Linked DNA regions of Caenorhabditis elegans. The protein of the gene in region 1 interacts with the protein of each later gene in a pairwise test. Each region holds a gene or a part of one and is shown on either strand. Other genes may lie near its edges. The genes, in order: C38D4.7, cash-1 and ceh-89.

Region 1 (5,109 bases):
GGTATTTAATTTTGTTCACTTGGTCGTAATGAAACACCAACAGGAAATATTTAATTTTTCGTTGATTTTGAGATTCCAAATAAAAATTTCGAAGATCTAGCCTCAGAGGATGTGGTTGCATGAATGGCATCATTGGATAGTGAGGCCACGTGACATCTGCTGGAACTGTTGTTGGTGAAGGTGTTGATGAGGACTCGTTTTCCGAAAAATCCGACTTGACATCGACCGACATTCTGAAAACGAGGAAGTAATTATCAGTTTATATAGAGAAAAGTGAACAGTAATAAAAATTCAAAATTTGAAGGAAGATTTTCGAGATTTGATGAGAATAGCAATAAAATAACGAGCTGGCAACCCGGCACCGCCTCCTGCGGCTCATTGAGCACTTGGGAAGGCGGGATTTATCAGATATGAACGGGAGAGGGAATTGTGAATGATTTATAGCCACACGTCGATTTTCAGACAAACATATCACTTTTACAATGAGACAGGTCGGCAAGGAAACAAAAACGCCCAGTTCGTTGGGAAATAAATTATTGGTCTGTGCAGGAAACTGTCCGAGACTGTATTCGAAGATGGATTTTCTTACTTTAATAAAATATGCGTTTTTAGAATTGATTTTTAGCATTGAAATTAGCAAGACAAATATAAAAGAAACGTTAAAACTCAACAGAAATGAAGAACAGAAAAAAATTAACACTGAAAAATTTTTACTGACTGATCAGCTCAATAGAGCGCACTTTCCACTTGTCGATTTACGAAGATTTTTATTTAATTTATTGTTCAATAGTTAACTTGCTGTTAAATATCTTTTTATTTAAATAAATATTTTAAAAATTATAAAATTTTGAAAAAGATTAGAAAAAATCATCTAGCCAAAAATTAAGAAAAGAAGAATTTTAGCCACTAAATTTAATTTCAATGAGATCCCGCCTTTAAAATAATTTGAAAAATAGATCACTCACCTCATATTTGATCTACTCGCCCAAATAATAGTAAGTCTACCGGCCATTGAGCCCATCTGGAATTGAGGTTCCATTACGATGTTCATTAGGAAATAAATGAGCGATGAAAGTTTAATTGAGTACGATACGAATGAGCATTTATGACTGACAGGTTCATGTGGAGCAAAGATTACGGTAGCAGAGAATTATTTCTCTTATCAGAAACGAGTGATCTATTAAATAGTTATTCTAAAAGTTGGAGATTCTTAACAAAAAATGTTGCTGAAATCGACAATTTGTCCTCCAAAGATTTGATATAAAAGGCAACAATGAGACCGCCCTTTGACTGATTATGTACCTTCTTTCAGAACATTAAACATTTACGATCTGGGAACTCTGCAGCTGTCATGAAGAACAACAAATGGAGCATCTGAAAATATCAAAGAGTCGCTTACTACTCGATTTCATGCACTATCAAGTTTGACCTGAATATGACCCGGCTGTCTGTTGCGTAATCGTTTTGCTCTTTGTGCATCTATGATACCGCCGTGAGAAGAGCCGCGTCTCGTATTTATTGCCACCCACTGTTGGGAATAGTTAGATAGCTGGTAGGAGAAACAAGATTTATTTACTATAAAATTTATTTGTATCAAAAAAGCTTAAATTTTAAAACAAAAACGAATATAAATTAAAAAAGAAATTTAACACGAGGTCTGCTTTATTCGCAGTGACCTTCTCGCCCCAAGTTCGCCGGCGTGGTTGTTTGAAAAGTGATCCACGAGCTGCTCCTTCGTCTGGGAAACTTCATTGCAGGTCCTGCATCGGAAGCTCTTGAATTTTTCAAGATCCTGAAAAACAACTTCAACTAATTTTTTATAATTTTCAGGCTTACCTTATCGTACTGAGATCCTTTCCCCACCAGCACTGCACCGATGAACACATTATCTCTGAAACTCTCATTTAAATTGAAAAAAAAAACACAACTAGAATTACCTTTCAGCAGATCGTCCATGGTTTCTGTTTTCCTCATCTCGAATCTTTTTCAACTCCTTTGCAGCATCAACAGGTGCTCCGGTCCGCTTGGCTAAATTGGATTGACGAACAACGGCAGACTTGACTCTTTTCGCTGGTTTGAGGGAGCTGGACGATGGATTCTTTTGACCAACCACATCATATGACGAAGCGTGGCTCCTATCGACACGTTCCACGAGAGAATGGACAAGTGCCATCATCTTATCCATATTTTGCTGGCTCCGCTCGTCGGCCTTCTCTCTTTCAGCTCGATGCTCTTCGCGAATGGATCGTTGATCGGCGCGAGCTTCTTCTTGGGCTTTTAGCATCTTCTCACACAACTGCCCAAACATGGATGACTGAGCAGCCAGAGTACCCAGTGAGTGCACAATCTGAAAAATAATTCCATTTCAGTAATGGCTCAATTGTAAAAGTCAATGTACTAACCGCATTTTCCAAAGAGTTTTGTGGTGGTTGGAGCATCGGATTTTGGAGTTGGTAGGGGAAGAATGGGACCATATCGCGGTTGAGGGTAAATCCCGCCATATTCGGTGCACCATTTCCCACAGCAGAAAGCAAACTCGCGGGAGTTTCAGTAGTCTGGGCAGTCTGTCGGGTGGCGGAATCGCCATTCTGAAAACGATTATTTTTTAGGTACAATGAAATGAAAAACTCACTTGGTCAGCAGAGGCTGGAGCTGGAGTGCTTGGCTTGCTCATCCTGAAATGTATGATTTTGTGAAGATTTGCACTTTTAGCAGCTAAAACGACAGTGATCGTGGCGAGACCCAACGAGAAGAATAGCGTGAACACGTTCTAATAAAAAAAATTCCGAATCAAAAGCTGAAAAGGAAAGAGGAAAAGGTGAAAAAGTGAACTGTTAAAATCGAGAATGTCGATTCTGACGAAAAACGTGGCACACGTTGCTTCGCCCATCTCTTCAAGAGGCACGTGAGGTCATACGGAAGTTCATCTTTTTCGTTTTTTAAAAACATTTTGTTTTAAAGGGAAAAATTAGAAAACTTCAATGAAATTGAAAAGAATATTCTGAATATATTTCCAAAAAAAAATTTTCAAAGCAAATTTTTGAAAATTTTTTACAATACAGTTTTTATTTTTTGCCGTAGTTGCTCTTTTGGGAAGCTCATATCTCTCTGCATTTGAAAGATATCAACAAATTTTCAACAGCAATGTCGTAGAGAAAAATACATAAAACATATTTTTCTTGTTGCCATTTTTTGATATTAAGACTAATAGCAGCTGAGATACAATCTGCCAAAGTTTGTGTGTGCATCACTTCTACAAAATAGCCTATTTCAGAATGTTGTGCCTATATTTTTAATTAAAATTTAGTTTCAAAATATAGAAAAATATTTAAATGGCCTGAAGATAACATGTTGCATTCTGAAAGTATACAGTATGAAAGTTATCAATTGAAGAATTTTCCCCGATTATTTGGAGGATTATATTCTAAAATTGTTAAGCATCTTTCTATAATTTTAAACGAATCAAAAAAATAACTTTATATTCATATTTCAATTCTAAATTTCTCTAAATTACTAAAAAAAACGTTGTTGGAATATTTGGTAATTTACCAAAACATGAACGAAATAAAAAATCTAAAATGCAGAATGTACTTTTTCCTGAAACTTTTTAAAATGTAATTTAACCCAGGTATTCCAAACTTTTGTGAAACTTTTTTGTTGGTTTCTCACAGACGGGTGGCGCAACCACTTGGATTGTCTTACTGCGGATTACTGTGCGGCAAAACACCAAACAATGTATAATCTTTTGTATAATTTAAGTGCTTATATCCTTTGCTTTTTTCGCAATGAGATACCGATACCGAAGCCAGAGAAAGACGGCCCTTCTCAGCTTGATACCACGATTTACGAGCGTGATGCGGAAGGAATAAAGAAAAAGCCTAACGCCGACCCAGTTGGAGGAGGAGGTGTCGCATTTCTTTTCGCGCATCTTTTGACGCGAGCCCGACGAAGAGCACATTGTGATATAAACAATTAGTATGATCTTCAAGAGAATGTGTTTATGTATTCAAGGAAAGATAAAACGGATTATTAGGAAAATGTGGAACATTGGAAAAAAGAACATCATCTCCAATTGTAAGGAGTTTCATACCAAATATACTAAAACTAAAACATATTACAAAAAACCAAGTATCTAATTGAAACAACTTTTCGGACTATTTTGTCAAATTTTTTGGCAAATTACCAAATTTGTTGAACAACTCTATCGTAATAAATACAATACAATACAACTTATGATCAACGTCCAAAATGATGATAAGTGAAAACTGAGTAATTTTTGACTAGAAATTTATGATTTTTTTTCAGTTCTTTTTGTTTTAATTTATAAAATTGGGGTTAGAAAAATCAGATCTTGATGGTAAAATATCTTTAACAATTGAAAACATTTTTTTTTCTCCAAAGTCCACAAAAAGTGGCAATTCCTCAGTTTTCAAAGCACATAATTTTGGAAATCCGGAAAATATGATTTCTAATAGTTTTGTATTTTAATTATATTTAAATTATATGTATTTAAACGCTGTGATTGTTCAAATTTACAAAATTGCCCGAAGTTTTTCATAAAGTCCAAATTGGTAAAAAAATTGGCAATTTGCCAAAGTTGACTGGAAAAGTTGAAAAATCTTAAACATGTTTAGATATTTGGATTTTTGGGACATTTTAAGAGTATTTAGACAAAATCATATCTAGTCCTACTCTTTCAGTTAACATATGTGTTTCCAAATCTAAATTATATTTTTTAAATACACAGCTTTGCCAATTGATACGAATTTGGTAGGTTTTCTACAAGAATTTACAAGATCACATGCATTGTTTACAAAAAACAGTTTAATTTCTCAAGTTCTCCTTGATTCCATATATTTTGTGATTTCAGCTGAAAGTTGTTGCATAGCCTTGTCCAATCCATCTCCAGTGAGTGCACACGTTGAGTGTATCGACCAGGTACCACTACGATACAGGTTTAGGCCTGTAAAACATAATATGTCGAAGAGTTGGGAAGGGAAAAAGTGGGAGTACCTAGAGCTACCGTAATATCCGAAGCAGTCATCGCTCCAGGGATGTCCATTTTGTTGGCAAGAATGACTATTGGAATCTGTAAAGTTTAAATAAACG
Region 2 (7,342 bases), on another chromosome or scaffold:
GTACTTGAAAACACGATAAAGCGGGCACAATCAGTTCCGCATAGAACTATGATAAAAGTTCCGTCAACTAAAATTAGAAAACCTTATTAGTGTTGTTATTGTTGATGCGCGTACGAATTCGTAACTTTTAATCAATTCACTTCACAAAGGTACAAAGGTACAAAGATTATTTAAATGACGCTTTAGGCCTGAGTTTTCACACTTTTAAAACGCGTAATCACTGAGGCTTTGTAGAGTATAAAATCTGTGAAAGTTGATGCGCCAAACTCCGCATTTTATGAAGTAAATTTATGCTATTACGTATCTATGGATAATATTAACGCTACCTACACATACGTCACGCATGGATGTTTCGCCATTTGTAAAACTAAAAAAACTACAAATATTTCAATAAATGTTTGGAACATCGTAAATTATTTCCCAATTCCACGATTTTAAATAGGACGCATTTAAATATGCGAAATGGTCTCGCCACGGGCCACCCATTAACTTTCAAATAATGTTTTAGTTCAGTTAAGTTCAGAAGATGGCTAGCGATTTGAAAAATATTTGCGATTTAAAAAAATATTTTATTTCATTTCTGGTGCTTTTTTTACAAAAATTGGACGGGGACGATAGAAAAACTGTACAAAATGAACGAAACTCCGAAACAACAAGAACATAGAAAATTACAGTACTCCTTCAAGGCGCATACCATTTTGAAATGACGAAAACTTGTCGTGGCGAGACCGGGCACCGTATTTGTGACGAAAAAATCGAGAGATCCAATGAACACTGTGATAATGATTGCAGAAAAGACACAAAATATGTGTTAATAATTATTATTGAAACTTAGGAAAGGTGTAAATTTGTTAATTCAGACACGATATATCAATCCAATCTGTGAATGATCTCATTGATATGTTTTTTTTCTCATTTTCAGAAAAATTAATTCCCATGGAAAACTATTCTGTTTCAATCGTATTTCTTAACAATGAGAATATTCTCAGTTTTTCCTGATTCATTTATTCAATCAAAATCAAGTACATTATGGCTTTATGACGTAATATTCATAAATATTTCTAAAACGAAAACCAAAAGCGAAAAAGTCAAACATAAAATAACTTGGCGACATTTTTTTTCCAACTTCTCTTCAACATAATCCTTAATCAGTTTGATTCTTGAGAACAGAAAACAATTGAATAAAACAATGACACGAGATTTAGTTAGTTAGCATATTTTATTATTCACTTTTTTTCTTTGTCTTTAAAATTTTAGATTGATTTATATCTATTGGGTTCTTCAATTTGGAATCGAGCTTATAGATATACCTTAATCTTCCCATTCAGCGTTTGGTCTGACGTAGAAAATGTTCATTCAGGTCACATAGTTTCCAGCAAAAGTAGATATTGCCATTCCTCATCGACTATTGGATCAATAGATGGTTTTAAATGGTTTTTTTTTTCTGGTTACGGTACTCAATTTATAAAATTCAAGAAATCATTAATTTTCGTTTGATAATTGCCCAATTGCCCAACACTGAAATGGTAGAAGTGAAAAATTCTGTATTCGTGCAAAAAATCAAACTAGAATTCTCAGTAATTTATGATACAGTTCAAGACATAGTTGAAACACTGTCAGTCGACCGAGATAGAAACAAAGAATAACAGATAATAATGGTAAAGAGAGACGAGGATGAAGTAGAGGAAAATGATGAGAACTTACGGTCTGAATTTGGATTCTCGAGGATATCTGGTTATTGATTAAAACTAAGCGTTTTGAGAATGGAAACAATGCCGAGAGAACAAAACATGGCGCAGAAAGGGTATCTAAGAGAAATAGGAACACGAGTCGAAATTTGTGCAGTTTAAAGATGAGCTAATCAATCAATATCCTATAGATTGTTTTAACCCGATTTGTATCGGTGTTGTTTCACATTACTGCCATAGAAAATATAAAAAATTGTTCGCCCAAATAACCACTGCAACCACTTCAGAAGATGGTTAATTTGAGCTAACTGCGACGTAATATTTACAGGATTGCAGATTAGGTTGACAAGTGTCAAAATGCTCATTTTCGACCCGTGATCAAATTTCATATTTAAAAAGAAATCAATCGAGGGAAGGAGGGGACAGATAAATTACGTTTAGATTTGAATAAAAATGGTTGTTGGTTATCTACAATAAAATAAAGGGTACTGTTGTAGTAATAAAAATGAAGGTATGTAGGCGTGGATTTGGGCATGAACTGGGAGACGAACTGGCGAATTCCTATTATACTTTAAGTTAAATTGGCGAAATATGAAAATAGGGAAATAATAATAAAAAAATGAATGGGATACTCTAGTTGCTTCCTGACACGTACACCTTGGCAAGAGAATCGGCACCGGCAGATCCTATAAGAGATCTTGAAGGATGGAAAGCAACGGAGGTAACTGCTGAATCATTCTTTTTCCGGTGGGCAGAAATTTCCTGAAAAATACTACATTTGTACAGTTTCTTAATTTATAAAAAAATATACCTGAAGGCATGAACGTTTCTCCATATTCCACATCCTGATACTACCATCATGACTTCCAGACAAAAGATAAAGACCATTTGGATCAATAGCAAGAGAAGAAACTCCCTCAACATGTGCGATAGCTTCATGAATTATCGATCCGTTGGTGTTGTCAAAGTACCGAATCGTCCGATCTTCACCGCCAATAAGTGTGAGAGGCATTGTTGGATGACTAACAATTTTGTTCATTGTTGGTGAACCTGTAACCGCTCCGAAATCGAACACCATGACAGTGCTTCCAGTATCGATATCAATAATTTGAGCATAGCAATTTGTGTATGCAGCAAGTAAATGTGATGTTTCCGTAGATACAAAATCAACTGATGTCGGAAGTATTCCGGATTTTGGGGCACCAATAGTTCTGATAAGTGGTTCACCATTTCCTGGTTCCCATAGACGAACCGTTGAATCAGAACTGGCAGAAACAAGGCGACTGTTTGATGAATGATAAGCCACCGACCAAATTGCATCCGTATGTCCAGTAAGTGTTTCAGTTAGGACTCGTGGATCTATAATAAATAACATAACCTTAAATTTGAACTAATTATTAAATTAACTTTAGTCTTATTGTTTGGCGAAAATTTAAACTAAAAATAGCGTTGAATCGTTTGAATCTGTATCGCAAAAGGTAACTGATACTTTGATATTTGAACATGTTATCATAATTTGGCGAAATTTTGTTGTTAGCTTAAAGGCACGCATCGTTTTCCGAGTGGGTCTCATAACGATTTCAGTCATAGTGGTAGCTACGAATGATTCACTTTTATTAGAAAATTGATTTTGAGAGAAAACTAAACTTCTAAAATTGCACTGAGAAAGTCCAAATTCTTCATAAAATATTATGCATCTAGTGTCCCGTTTCTGCGAAAGGACGATACTAATTTCAATGCATAATCTTTTTTTTCCAAACGATTTTGCACAAAATGAAGCAAATTGTGATTAATTAGTTTTTGACAGCTCATTTTAATTAAGAAATAAATCTTACCATAAGAATCAAATGGATCCCCGTTTGAAGATGGTACATTGAAACAGCAGATGTTTCCATCGATACCTCCGGTGTAGAGATGATCTCCAGTTGGCGACAGGACTAAGCATAGAACAGGGCCTTTGTGTCCCCGGAATGTATAAACTGGCTCAAGCTCGGTACCACCACTGTTGTGTTTCTCATCTTTCTTTTGATCGAGATTCCATAATTTGATCAGACCGTCTTCCGAAGCAGTAAATAGTACGGGCTCAACTGGATGGAATTGCATCGCGCGAATCGAATCAAGGTGAGATCGTAGAGTAACTTTGATATTCCACTTCACTTGTTGTGCATTCGGATCATCATCCTGAATTTGACAATTATTTTTCTTTTATTTTTAAAACTGAAAAACTCACTTCATCTTTGAACTCGTCCTTAATGTCCATATTATCATTATCTTGCATTCCAAGAGCAACGTCCAACTCATTTCCGTTACCATATCCAAAATTAGCACTACGTCTACCTTGTCGCCGAACTGGAAGTTCTTCTTGTGCAGCGGCATCGATAGCTGATCGAATTCCTGGTGGAACATCAGTCTCTAGATTTTTCTGAACATCGTTGCTTGTTTTCTCTTCGGATTCTTCAGTTGACGTCCTTGAACGCCGCTTCACTTTTGGATCGTCCTTGTATTGTTTTATCAGTTTTTCGAATGAAGCTCCTTTTCCTGCCCAGTCATCGTCAGAACCTTTTTCTTTCGCATCCATATTGTTTAGAAAATCAAACTCTTCAAACGCCTTTGAGGCGTCAGCATCCAAGGCTGCATCATCATGTCCGTCATCGGAATCACTGTAATTACTTAGAACGATTGCTATGTGTTCAAAAAGAAAGTAGTGAATAAGTACCTGTCACTTTTCTCTTTTCTACCATTGAGACGTTCACTGGATGGAAGATCAGCCTGGAAGTTCAAAACAGATTGGTTTTTTTTTCAAACTATTGAATTTTCATACTTGGGGTAATAATCCGAGAAGATTTTTTACACGGAAGGATCGAACATCCATGATGTGCTCGCTGTATCCAATTTCTTCCAGATAACGTTTGAGAAGAAGGCGTCCCTGCCTGAAACTACCTCCAGCTTCACCAGCATCATTTATGTATGCATCAAGGTCGGCCGTCAAATGGCTGTTTTCTGAAATATATATTTTCGATCGGAACGTCTTCATAGAAATTACCGCTTGGCGCTGAATTTTCATTTGGAGATTCTTCCAGTGATGGTGGTTCTTCGCCGTTGTGGGTTAGTCGATAATTTTTGGCACGTTCTTGTTTCAGGCAGAATTCGAGCATTTTGATACGACGGACAAGATCTTGTTTCAAATTTTCTTGACCTTTTCTTTCTCCTTGTAGGAAAGCAATACGAGCCTACAAAAATTTCACATTACAATCGTAGAAAAAATATTTACTCACCTGCATTTCGGCTCTCTCTGCTTCCCACCTAGTTCGATCTAACTCATTTTTTGTCCATTCGTGTTGTATAAAGTGCAAAATACCCGACATTGTATACTGAGGACGAGTCTGTAAAGTTTTCGATTTTTACAGAAGCTGAATTCCAACTCAACTTACCGTTTCGTCCTTTGCTTTGTCATTTTGTGAGTTTGACAATTGACTGGCGTCCTCCATTGTAAACTACTCGAATCCGATCTTATTTCGAGTAATTTACGTTAATGAAGCAAGTGCAAAAGCTGGAAAGAACAGTTGAAAAAAATTACGAAACGTGTATAAGAAGATTTTCAAAAAGTTTAATTGCAATAGAGGACGAGAAGTTTGTGGCAAAATTGAAACTGCTTATTAGGGCTGTAATCAATATAGATGAGCTGATAAAATAAAAGTAGCATCAAGTCGTACGAGACTGATGAAAAACTGATTCGATTAGGTGGACGCAGCCCCGAGGCACGAGGAAGAAAAGGGAAGAGCGAGTAAAACGAGTGCCGTTGTCTGCGTCGCGTGTTCGGCGCGCGTCTTCATATTAACAATGGGGCGCATATTCGTTGCAATTATTGGCGCCTTTTCAAATTTGAAAGGTAGACTTTCTATAAGTACCGTATGCCACTAACAATTAAAAAATACAAATGTGAAATCTATTTTCCATTTGAATTTCAAAATGCTAATATATTAAGTGGCTTAGCAGACTGTATCCGTTAACCAAAAATATGAGAAACTTGAACTTTGCCAACATAAAACCACCAGCTGAAAATCAAATGCATTTACTTGGGTTTTGGATCTTGGAGAAACTTTTATTATATTATTTAATCACCTGCTGATGTAGTTAGAAAAAAGGAATGAGATTTTATTGTCTCAAATTTTATCTAAATTTCACGCGTATTACGTTTCAAGCATATTCAGGTACTTATTTGCATCACATAATATCTTTTTTCATCGAAAAGATTGTTTCAAAAACAAAATTGAAAAACAAAAACGGAATGATTTATTTGAAAATTAAAATTGATTACTTATATCCGATATATTCAATTTATTTTTCAAAAACAGTAAGATAACGTTCAGTTGGTGACCAATTTTTACTGAATAAAATAATGAGATCAAGAGAAACTTTCAAAAAAACTTCAATCTCAAAACCCGCTATGCAAGATTGTCTTAAAAACTCCCAGAAAGTTGCATTTGAAAATTTCTAAGTATTTTTTGAAAAAACCGGGACCGTCATAGTTTTGGCCAATACAATAATAAAATGTACAGCACGCTACTTTAACACCACGTATTATCCAATTGACATTTGGTGCTTAACCATAATGTGAGAAGATGATCTTCTTTTGTTAATGGATGATGATTTTCATAGTCGAACTGAATTCGTTTCATCTGCTTCCTGTTCGAATTTTCCACAAAAGTCTGCTCCAGTATTTTCCTTGTTTCTGTATTCATACAGTGTCCGCATAGCTGGCATTCTGGAGCCTCATCACATGATTCACATTTATTTTCAACACAAAATTTCAGCGGAAGATTGATGTCTCGGGAGTTAACAAGAGGATTTTGTTCGGATGTACGTGATCTAGAACGGGAAATCTAATTTGTGGACAGCTTCAAATGGAATAAACGAACTTGAACAAGATGTCAGCTTCTTTTGTAATTGGTGTTGAAATTCCAGTTAGAGAGAAAATGTTCATTAGAACTTGTTCATAAAGTATTTGATTTTGTTTAAAATGACCTGAAGAGAGATTAGGAGACATATTCGCCTGCAAAGATGTCTTGTAAATTTTAATGATTCTGAAAAATAAATGCATACCTCCATAAGAAAAACGTTCAATTGATCATCGACCACAAAATCAAATCTGCTTAATTCAAAGTATTGTGGATTTAATTTCAAGTTTTGAAGACTCATTAGCATTTTTGTTTGCTGTGTTCGGAAGACCTGAAAAAAGATAATGAAGTTCAGAAAAAGTGTGCAAAATTTTTTGATCGTCTCCTTTGAATATCTAGAAAATATGCATCACAGAGATTAGTTGAGAGTTCTAAATATTACCTCTCCAATAATATTTCTTATCTGCAACCAAATCTTGCTTGTATCCATTCCTTGCATTCCCAAATAAGAATCAATTGTACTCTTGAAGCTCATTTTTTGAGTGTTGAAGTATTTTTTCAATGAATTTATCTGAATATCTTGGGTATATTATTAAAGCTTTTAGAATTTGGTTTACCTCCCAAATAGGTGTATAGTCATCTCCAACAACATATTTATCCACATTATTCGCATCAAATGGATGGTAGTCTTCTGGACAAAATCTAGAATAATTCAATTTTAGAATTTTTTCTGGTTTCCAGAAGCGAATATCAAAA
Region 3 (6,714 bases), on another chromosome or scaffold:
TACAAAATTCGCGGGAATTTAGACGCAGACATTTCAACTGAATGCGCATGGCTAAGAGTGTGCTGACGTCATATTTTTTGGGGGAAAAAATTCCCGCATGTTTTGTAGATCAGACCGTGATGGGACTGCCTGCCACCACGTGCACAAGAGCTACTCCACCTTTGCTGCAAATCTCTATTCTTTTGGTTAACTGAACAAAAAGTTTAAGCAGAAAGAGGCGTATTTCACTGGAAGTAGAAGTGTGATGTTATATACAATTTTAGTTATTTAAAGCGGAATAATTTAACGAGGTATTCCTGTGAATTTTGACTGTAGGCGTTCGTCTACTTATTTCCGCCGTTCCGTGCAATTTTAGTAAAAATCTATAATTTTGAAATCTCTAAAATAAAAATGAATTTCAAAAATGTATAATATTTCCTAACGTCTAGTGGAACTACATAGGTAACTTTTTGTCTGGAGTAAAATGGGCATGGTGTTGAAACAGTGAAATATGTGATTTCCTTGTGATATTTGTTGTATGACAACCGTCTTACTTTGAAAAAACCAACGAAGCAAAAAAAGCATGCGGTCGGAAGAAAGTGGTAAACAACTTGCCAAGTGAAAAATGCATCCAAAACCACAAGATGATAAGACAACCGACAAACAAAAAACACAACATAAACTGTAAAATGCCGGTTTTTTAAGTGTCGCAAGACATTAAATAACAAATTTTTGAAGTTTCGCAACTCTCTTTTTCTATATTGTTTACCAGATGTGCAGTTTTTTTTCTTTTATAATAATATGAACTACTAAAAACAAAGAATATACATTTTAGAGATTCCGAAAAAACGACAAAAAAAACCGAAAACGTGGGATTTGATCTCTGAAAATCCACAAACAAGCATGTCAACAACGTCTATTATTCAGTTGTTTTTTGGTGTGTAGTCCTTTATATAGAACAAGGACACCACAAAAACAGAAACGTGCAAAATATAAAAAAAAAGACATATTAATTACTCGTTCTTCTCGCAGTGGACAGATATGAATTTTTATTCGAATATACTGCTATTTTGTATATTTTGTCTGCATTGTTGTTATTAGGCCTGTGGAGTGGGTCGCCCCATTTTTTTTGGGTCGGCCGGGTTGGGGTCGCGTCCCCGACCCATTTTTTGGGTCGGGGTTGCGGCCCCGACCCACTTTTTGGGTCGGGGTCATGTCCCCGACCCATTTTTTTCAAAATTTAACAGAAAGTTATCAAAAACTTGAAAAACTATTTTTTGTCAAAAAACACGTGTAAAAGCTGAAAATTATAAAATTATCGTATTTTCATCAATTAAAAAAACATATCCTATTTTCGATACAAACAAGCATAAGAGTCAACGTTTAAACACGATTTACAACAAAACAAACTTTTTTTTTCAATTTCAGACATTTTCCGAAAATGGGTCGGGGACGCGACCCCGACCCAAAATTGGGTCGCGGGTCGACCCATCTCGACCCATTCAACAGGCCTAGTTGTTATTAGCTTACAGTTTCAATCGGTAGGCACTCAATTTTTGGTATATTTGGAAGCCGATTATCCGAAAATGCACGTAAAAACACGGAATAAACAATTTAAATTAAATAGAAAGTATCAATTAAAAATATTAACAGCGCATTTCAAAAATATTAAAAGTTATTAAAAAATACAACTGAAATGGAATAAAATAACTTGAAAGCAAGACTGATAAAAGTTCACATTTTAGTAAGACAAATAGATAAGGACTGGAAATGTATGTCTCAATTGATATTATTGAGTGCAGGTCCAATAGAGAAATAAATGTAGCATAAGTATTAAAGCAACATCGTTTTGAAAATACTGTAGCTTTGAAATCTCAAACAGGTCGGCAAACCGGAAACATAAAATAAGGAAAATTTAAACAGTTCTCTACAGAGCATGCTTGAGTTCTCGTAAATACTTAACGTGTTTTTGACATGGTGAATATGGGAAATTGATGATTGGAAAGGATCTGTCAACATTTTTTAAAAAATCCTATTTTTCCAAGCAAATATAATAATATGGGTTAATTACAAGTCGTGAAAGGTTAATTAATTCAGATATTATACGATTGTTTTTTTAGATTTGTTAGGTCTGCAAAGAAGGATGGAAAAAGGACCCTTAAAGTAGATGTAAGAGTGGAGTCAGTGAAAATGGGGAACAGACAGATAAATAGTTAATGTGTTATCTTTATTTTAAAATGCTGCTTTTTTGTTGTCAATACAATGGGTGTTTCTTCAACAATTCTTTTTCAGATCGGGTCCTGAAAATAAAAAGTTTAGTTTTGCAGAATATCAAAAAATATAGGGTTTTTCTTCTTACAATTAGTTCATTTTTGTTCAAAGCCATATCCATATTGTCCAAAATAGACAACATATCTCAAGTGAACTTTACAAACATTTACCGTTGTTATTTACCATTCCCTATCAACTTCTCCATCATCATCCCAAGGATAATCGTACGTTTCGAAATCATCCATTTCCACAGTCCCAAATGGCCACCAACCATATACAATTAGTTCAGGCTCTTTAAATGACTGAACGTCTAGTTGCAGTATTCCCCCCGCGACACAGTTCCGATTCCTTGTAGGAATAGCTTCTAGTATTGGATTCACCTGTTCCAGGTCCACTTTCAAATGAGCTCTGCTTCTTTCTCGTTCAGCAGCCCGTTTTTTCTGCTCCTCAGTCACTGGCCTAACAATTCTGAAGTTTGTGCCATTACGCCATTGGAACCAGCGACGAACCTAAACGCGTTAGAGTTTTTTTAAGGAGAATTTTTAAAGTAAAAAAAAAAACTAACTTCTTTTCGAGATAATCCTGTATCTGCCATTATTTCCAAAATTTCATCGTTGTTTGGATTTTTGTTTGCCTCAAAGGCAGGAAGCAATTTGTGTATGATAGCTGGAGCATATTTTTCCGAGTAGTACGCGTTTTGAATCTGTAGCTCAAAATTAAAATTTAGTAGCACAATTTAACGTTACCAAATAATTCTGTGCAGAGTAACATTCGGATAATTCGGATGACGAAGAATCTTCACGTCTTGATCTTTCGATTCCAAGTGTTTGATCTGCCTGAAATTTAGAGTATTTTCAAACGTTTTCTTCAAACATTCTTATTTGAATGTATTAGAATTTAGCTAAATATATAAGCATATGAAACAGTTGAAAAAATGATTCAAGATCAGCAAAAATTATGTGTATCTTAATTTTGATTTTTTTTTATCACAGTGAAATTTATATTCTGGTCTAATTAAACTCGGAATATTTTGAATTATTATATTTGTCATTTTTCTAGTGAGCTGAAACCAATCTTTAACAAATTTTTTTTCTTATTTTGATTGATAACTCAGCGTTTGTTTTAAATTTAAGCACGTTTTTAGTACACAGTAAGTTTTCAGAAAAATAAAATATACTTCAATTAACAAAAATCACATAAAAATCACCTTCCGCCAGCTGCGATACTGTAAAATTGGCAAAATTTAAGATTCTTGTCGCATCGAAGGCGATTCTTAATGTTTGATCCATAATATTCTGACTATTCACATTCCCAGAAAATATTTTATTACCATATTCCCATATTCCCTCGAATTCACATTCCCAGAAAATGTTTTATTACCATATTCCCTTGCTTCCTCACGCCCCTGCTGATCGAATTAAGAGACCATATAAAAGGAGCCGGTCAGTTCCCCAAGAATATACACTATTGTTTCCCCCCTTCTTCTTATTCATAAATAAATATTTGGCCTTATTTCCTTGTCCTACTACCTCCTAGGACAATTCTAGCTATTTTTAAATTTTAATGATTTGAAGCGTTATTAAACATGTTTTTAAGGATTCTTATTTTGAATTTTCAAATTTAAAATTAGAATTATGAATTAGAATGAACAAAAAAAGATGACTTAACATTATGATTTCTTTTGCTTTGAAGCACTTTTTGTTAACGTTTCAACTTACTTCTGGAATTGATACATTCTTAGACTTATCAGAAGACTTCGAACGAGACGAAGATGAAGACGATGAAGATGAAATACGCTTTTTGACTACAGGATTCTGGCTCCTTCTAGTTTGGCGCTTTTGCAAGTTATTATTTAGAAATGATAAATCTTTTAACGGTTTCTATTTTTACAAGAAAGTAAAAACTTACTGAATCCGAATGTGACTTTGTTGTAGCTGGAAGTGATTTCAGTTTGCAAGCTCTCTGCAATTTTTATATTAGTGTGACTATTTTGTGATGCAAATCATACGTTCGGAAGATTCCGTGTTGATTGTTTCTGAGTTTTTGAGTTTTCCGTCTCTCTCCTGACATTTTTCTGAAAATTGTTTGTCTATTGTTTTTACTTAGTTTTAATCCAAATTTGATTAGTTTTTGGCTTAAAATTAGTTCAAGTATCTTTACAACAGAAAATAAAATGTAATGTGTAAAGAAAAATACTTTTTAAAAAATAAAGTTAACAACTTACTGTGCGTGACTTTTTCGAACTTCTTTTTGATGGAGCCATCTGAAAACTAAATAAATAAGTTTTGAAAATGTATAATCTGAAAAGGTTTTTTTTAGTTATTTCTAAGAAAATGCTATTCAATTGTTGGAGAAATGTGGAAATCGCATGCAAATATTTTAGGCTTATAAAAACAAAATGCTACAGAGTCAACTTCGCTCTATCGCACAAGAAGCGGGATGTTAAAAAAACCGCTTTTAAATTGAAACAAAACAGGAAATGTGGGACTTAATGTAAAAAGAGTTAAATCTAGAAGCTAGATAGTGAAAACTAGAAACTAGTTGTGTTATCAAATTGGCCGTATTCTTAAAAGGAAAAAATAAACTTAGAAAATCGATGAAGAGTGCAAGCGCACACTCTCCCAACATTTCTACCCTCTATGTCTCGGTCTCGTACTTTATTCTAATATGCAATCTCCGGTCAAGTGTGTTAGTGAGATGAATGAAAAAATAGGAGAGATATGAGAGCTAACAGATGTTCTTTCAAAACTGACTCCGTTTTGCAAATCAGATTGTGACGCGGGAAAACGCATCAAAAGTGACGCACGCAATGGAGTTGATAGACACTTAGAAAACAAACAAAAACAGTTATCAGAGCCAAGTGCTGGAATATTCACATTTTAGGTAATAAGTAAAACAAGTAATGAATGACAGTGAAATTTAACAGAAACACAAACTAATTGCACAAACTGCCAAATCTGAAAACGCCAAACAGCAGAAGCTCTGCACTCTGAGTTTAATGAAAAAACTGTACTCATATTGTAGTTTTAAATGCTACTACATACATAAGTACAGAACTAGTAAAACACTAATTCTCTCCAAATGGCAAATAATCTTAAAGTACTCTAGATATCTCATAATGATATAACATTCATCTCAAAATTTATTTATTGTTATTCAAATGTGGTCAATTGTCGTTCATTCAAGACACACTTTCACATCGAATTGTTCAATATAAGCTTGGTGATTCTGTAGTTTTTATTATTTAAACGGTACCAAGTTGGGTTTTCTACAATTTTGTTCTTTTGTTCACTTTTCCAGAAGCTATTTGATATTCAGTAAATAGTCTTGCGATCTCTATTAGTCTTGCACTCCTACGGCCCAATTTAAATTTAGTCCAACATGCAAGACTAATAGAGGTCATTCGGTAACTGCATTTCCAAGTCCACATCATTTACTCTACCAAAATCATCAATGAGCATCTGGGTAAGCTGCGTGATGTGGAAATAATTTCTGCTGTCTAGACCGATCATAAAAGCATTGGATTTTTCGACTGCCCCAGACATGGATAGATACACAATAACGAAATATTGTAACAAATGGCGATTGGACAGAAACTAGAAGAACACAGTCTCTGAGGTTGGATGCACTTTTGTGAGTCGGTTTCTTCATATGAAATGGCGCAATCATTTATTTATGAATACTGGTAATAGGCCGTGATTTATCTTTTTATTCTGTAATTTCGTTTTTTTCCATTGTCTATTTTTTGTGTTTTCGGACCATATTACATATTAGGAAATATTTGTAGTTTTGGAAATTTAAAATCATTCATTAAAATTTTTTAAACTGAAGTTAAAAAGGTGTTACCTTGAAGGCTCTTTATAATTTAAACTGTTAAGTTTAATTCACCGTTTGTGACATATTTAGATTACTCGTCTCCTACATTTGTCATGAATGTCATCAAACATAGTTGAAAATGTTTCGGCTTCCAAAACAAATATCACTTAGTGAGAAGCTTTTTGCTCTTCTTCTAACAGACGGTTCATTTTTTTTTCTATACAACTTTTTGCTCTTTATTCGTCTTTATAGAAACATTCTGACGTCGTTTCAAACATTTTTCTTTTCCAGAAACTTTTTTTGCCATTTCAACGAGTGAAACATGTTGACGAATTTTGCGAGACAACCATCTGAAAACGTCGGGGAGCATCAGGAGTCGATTTGGTTAGTTATTCAATATTATGTTGAAAGTTGAATGTAAAAGACCCTGAAGCTCCAACCTAAAGAATATTTTTGCAGGGTAGAGTTCGGAAAACTTGCCATCGAAAATAAGGCGGTGAGCCTTGGCCAAGGATTCCCAGATTCACCAGCACCAAAATTTGTCACTGAGATCTTAAAGGACATCGCTAGTCATCCGGAGAAAATTGAGTCGCATCAGTATACGCGAGCGTTTGGCCATCCAGACTTGGTTGGGATTCTCTCCAAAAT

The links.
Region 2: the proteins of C38D4.7 (region 1) and cash-1 interact in a two-hybrid assay, tested with the Caenorhabditis elegans proteins (one large-scale study listed by BioGRID).
Region 3: the proteins of C38D4.7 (region 1) and ceh-89 interact in a two-hybrid assay, tested with the Caenorhabditis elegans proteins (one large-scale study listed by BioGRID).

What each region holds. Positions count from the first base shown.
Region 1 is NC_003281.10:4,808,477-4,813,585, forward strand, and holds C38D4.7 (C2H2-type domain-containing protein), read right to left. Parts: upstream 2,820-5,109; 5' UTR 2,675-2,819; coding exon 2,633-2,674; intron 2,589-2,632; coding exon 2,403-2,588; intron 2,348-2,402; coding exon 1,938-2,347; intron 1,892-1,937; coding exon 1,837-1,891; intron 1,793-1,836; coding exon 1,646-1,792; 3' UTR 1,555-1,645; downstream 1-1,554. Other genes in the region: Homeobox protein pal-1, read right to left, coding at 102-232; arl-6 (ADP-ribosylation factor-like protein 6), read right to left, coding at 4,833-4,963, 5,014-5,089.
Region 2 is NC_003283.11:10,360,159-10,367,500, reverse strand, and holds cash-1 (Striatin N-terminal domain-containing protein), read right to left. Parts: upstream 5,241-7,342; 5' UTR 5,177-5,240; coding exon 5,120-5,176; intron 5,072-5,119; coding exon 4,964-5,071; intron 4,919-4,963; coding exon 4,732-4,918; intron 4,689-4,731; coding exon 4,510-4,688; intron 4,458-4,509; coding exon 4,405-4,457; intron 4,358-4,404; coding exon 3,919-4,357; intron 3,870-3,918; coding exon 3,524-3,869; intron 3,048-3,523; coding exon 2,500-3,047; intron 2,451-2,499; coding exon 2,322-2,450; 3' UTR 1,567-2,321; downstream 1-1,566. Other genes in the region: putative tubulin polyglutamylase ttll-15, read right to left, coding at 6,257-6,557, 6,608-6,741, 6,792-6,917, 7,029-7,157, 7,204-7,288.
Region 3 is NC_003284.9:14,139,745-14,146,458, reverse strand, and holds ceh-89 (Homeodomain-only protein), read right to left. Parts: upstream 4,514-6,714; coding exon 4,475-4,513; intron 4,325-4,474; coding exon 4,259-4,324; intron 4,213-4,258; coding exon 4,159-4,212; intron 3,087-4,158; coding exon 2,997-3,086; intron 2,954-2,996; coding exon 2,816-2,953; intron 2,760-2,815; coding exon 2,631-2,759; exon of another isoform or gene 2,421-2,630; intron 2,280-2,420; coding exon 2,268-2,279; 3' UTR 1,581-2,267; downstream 1-1,580. Other genes in the region: nkat-1 (Aminotransferase class I/classII large domain-containing protein), read left to right, coding at 6,389-6,450, 6,526-6,714.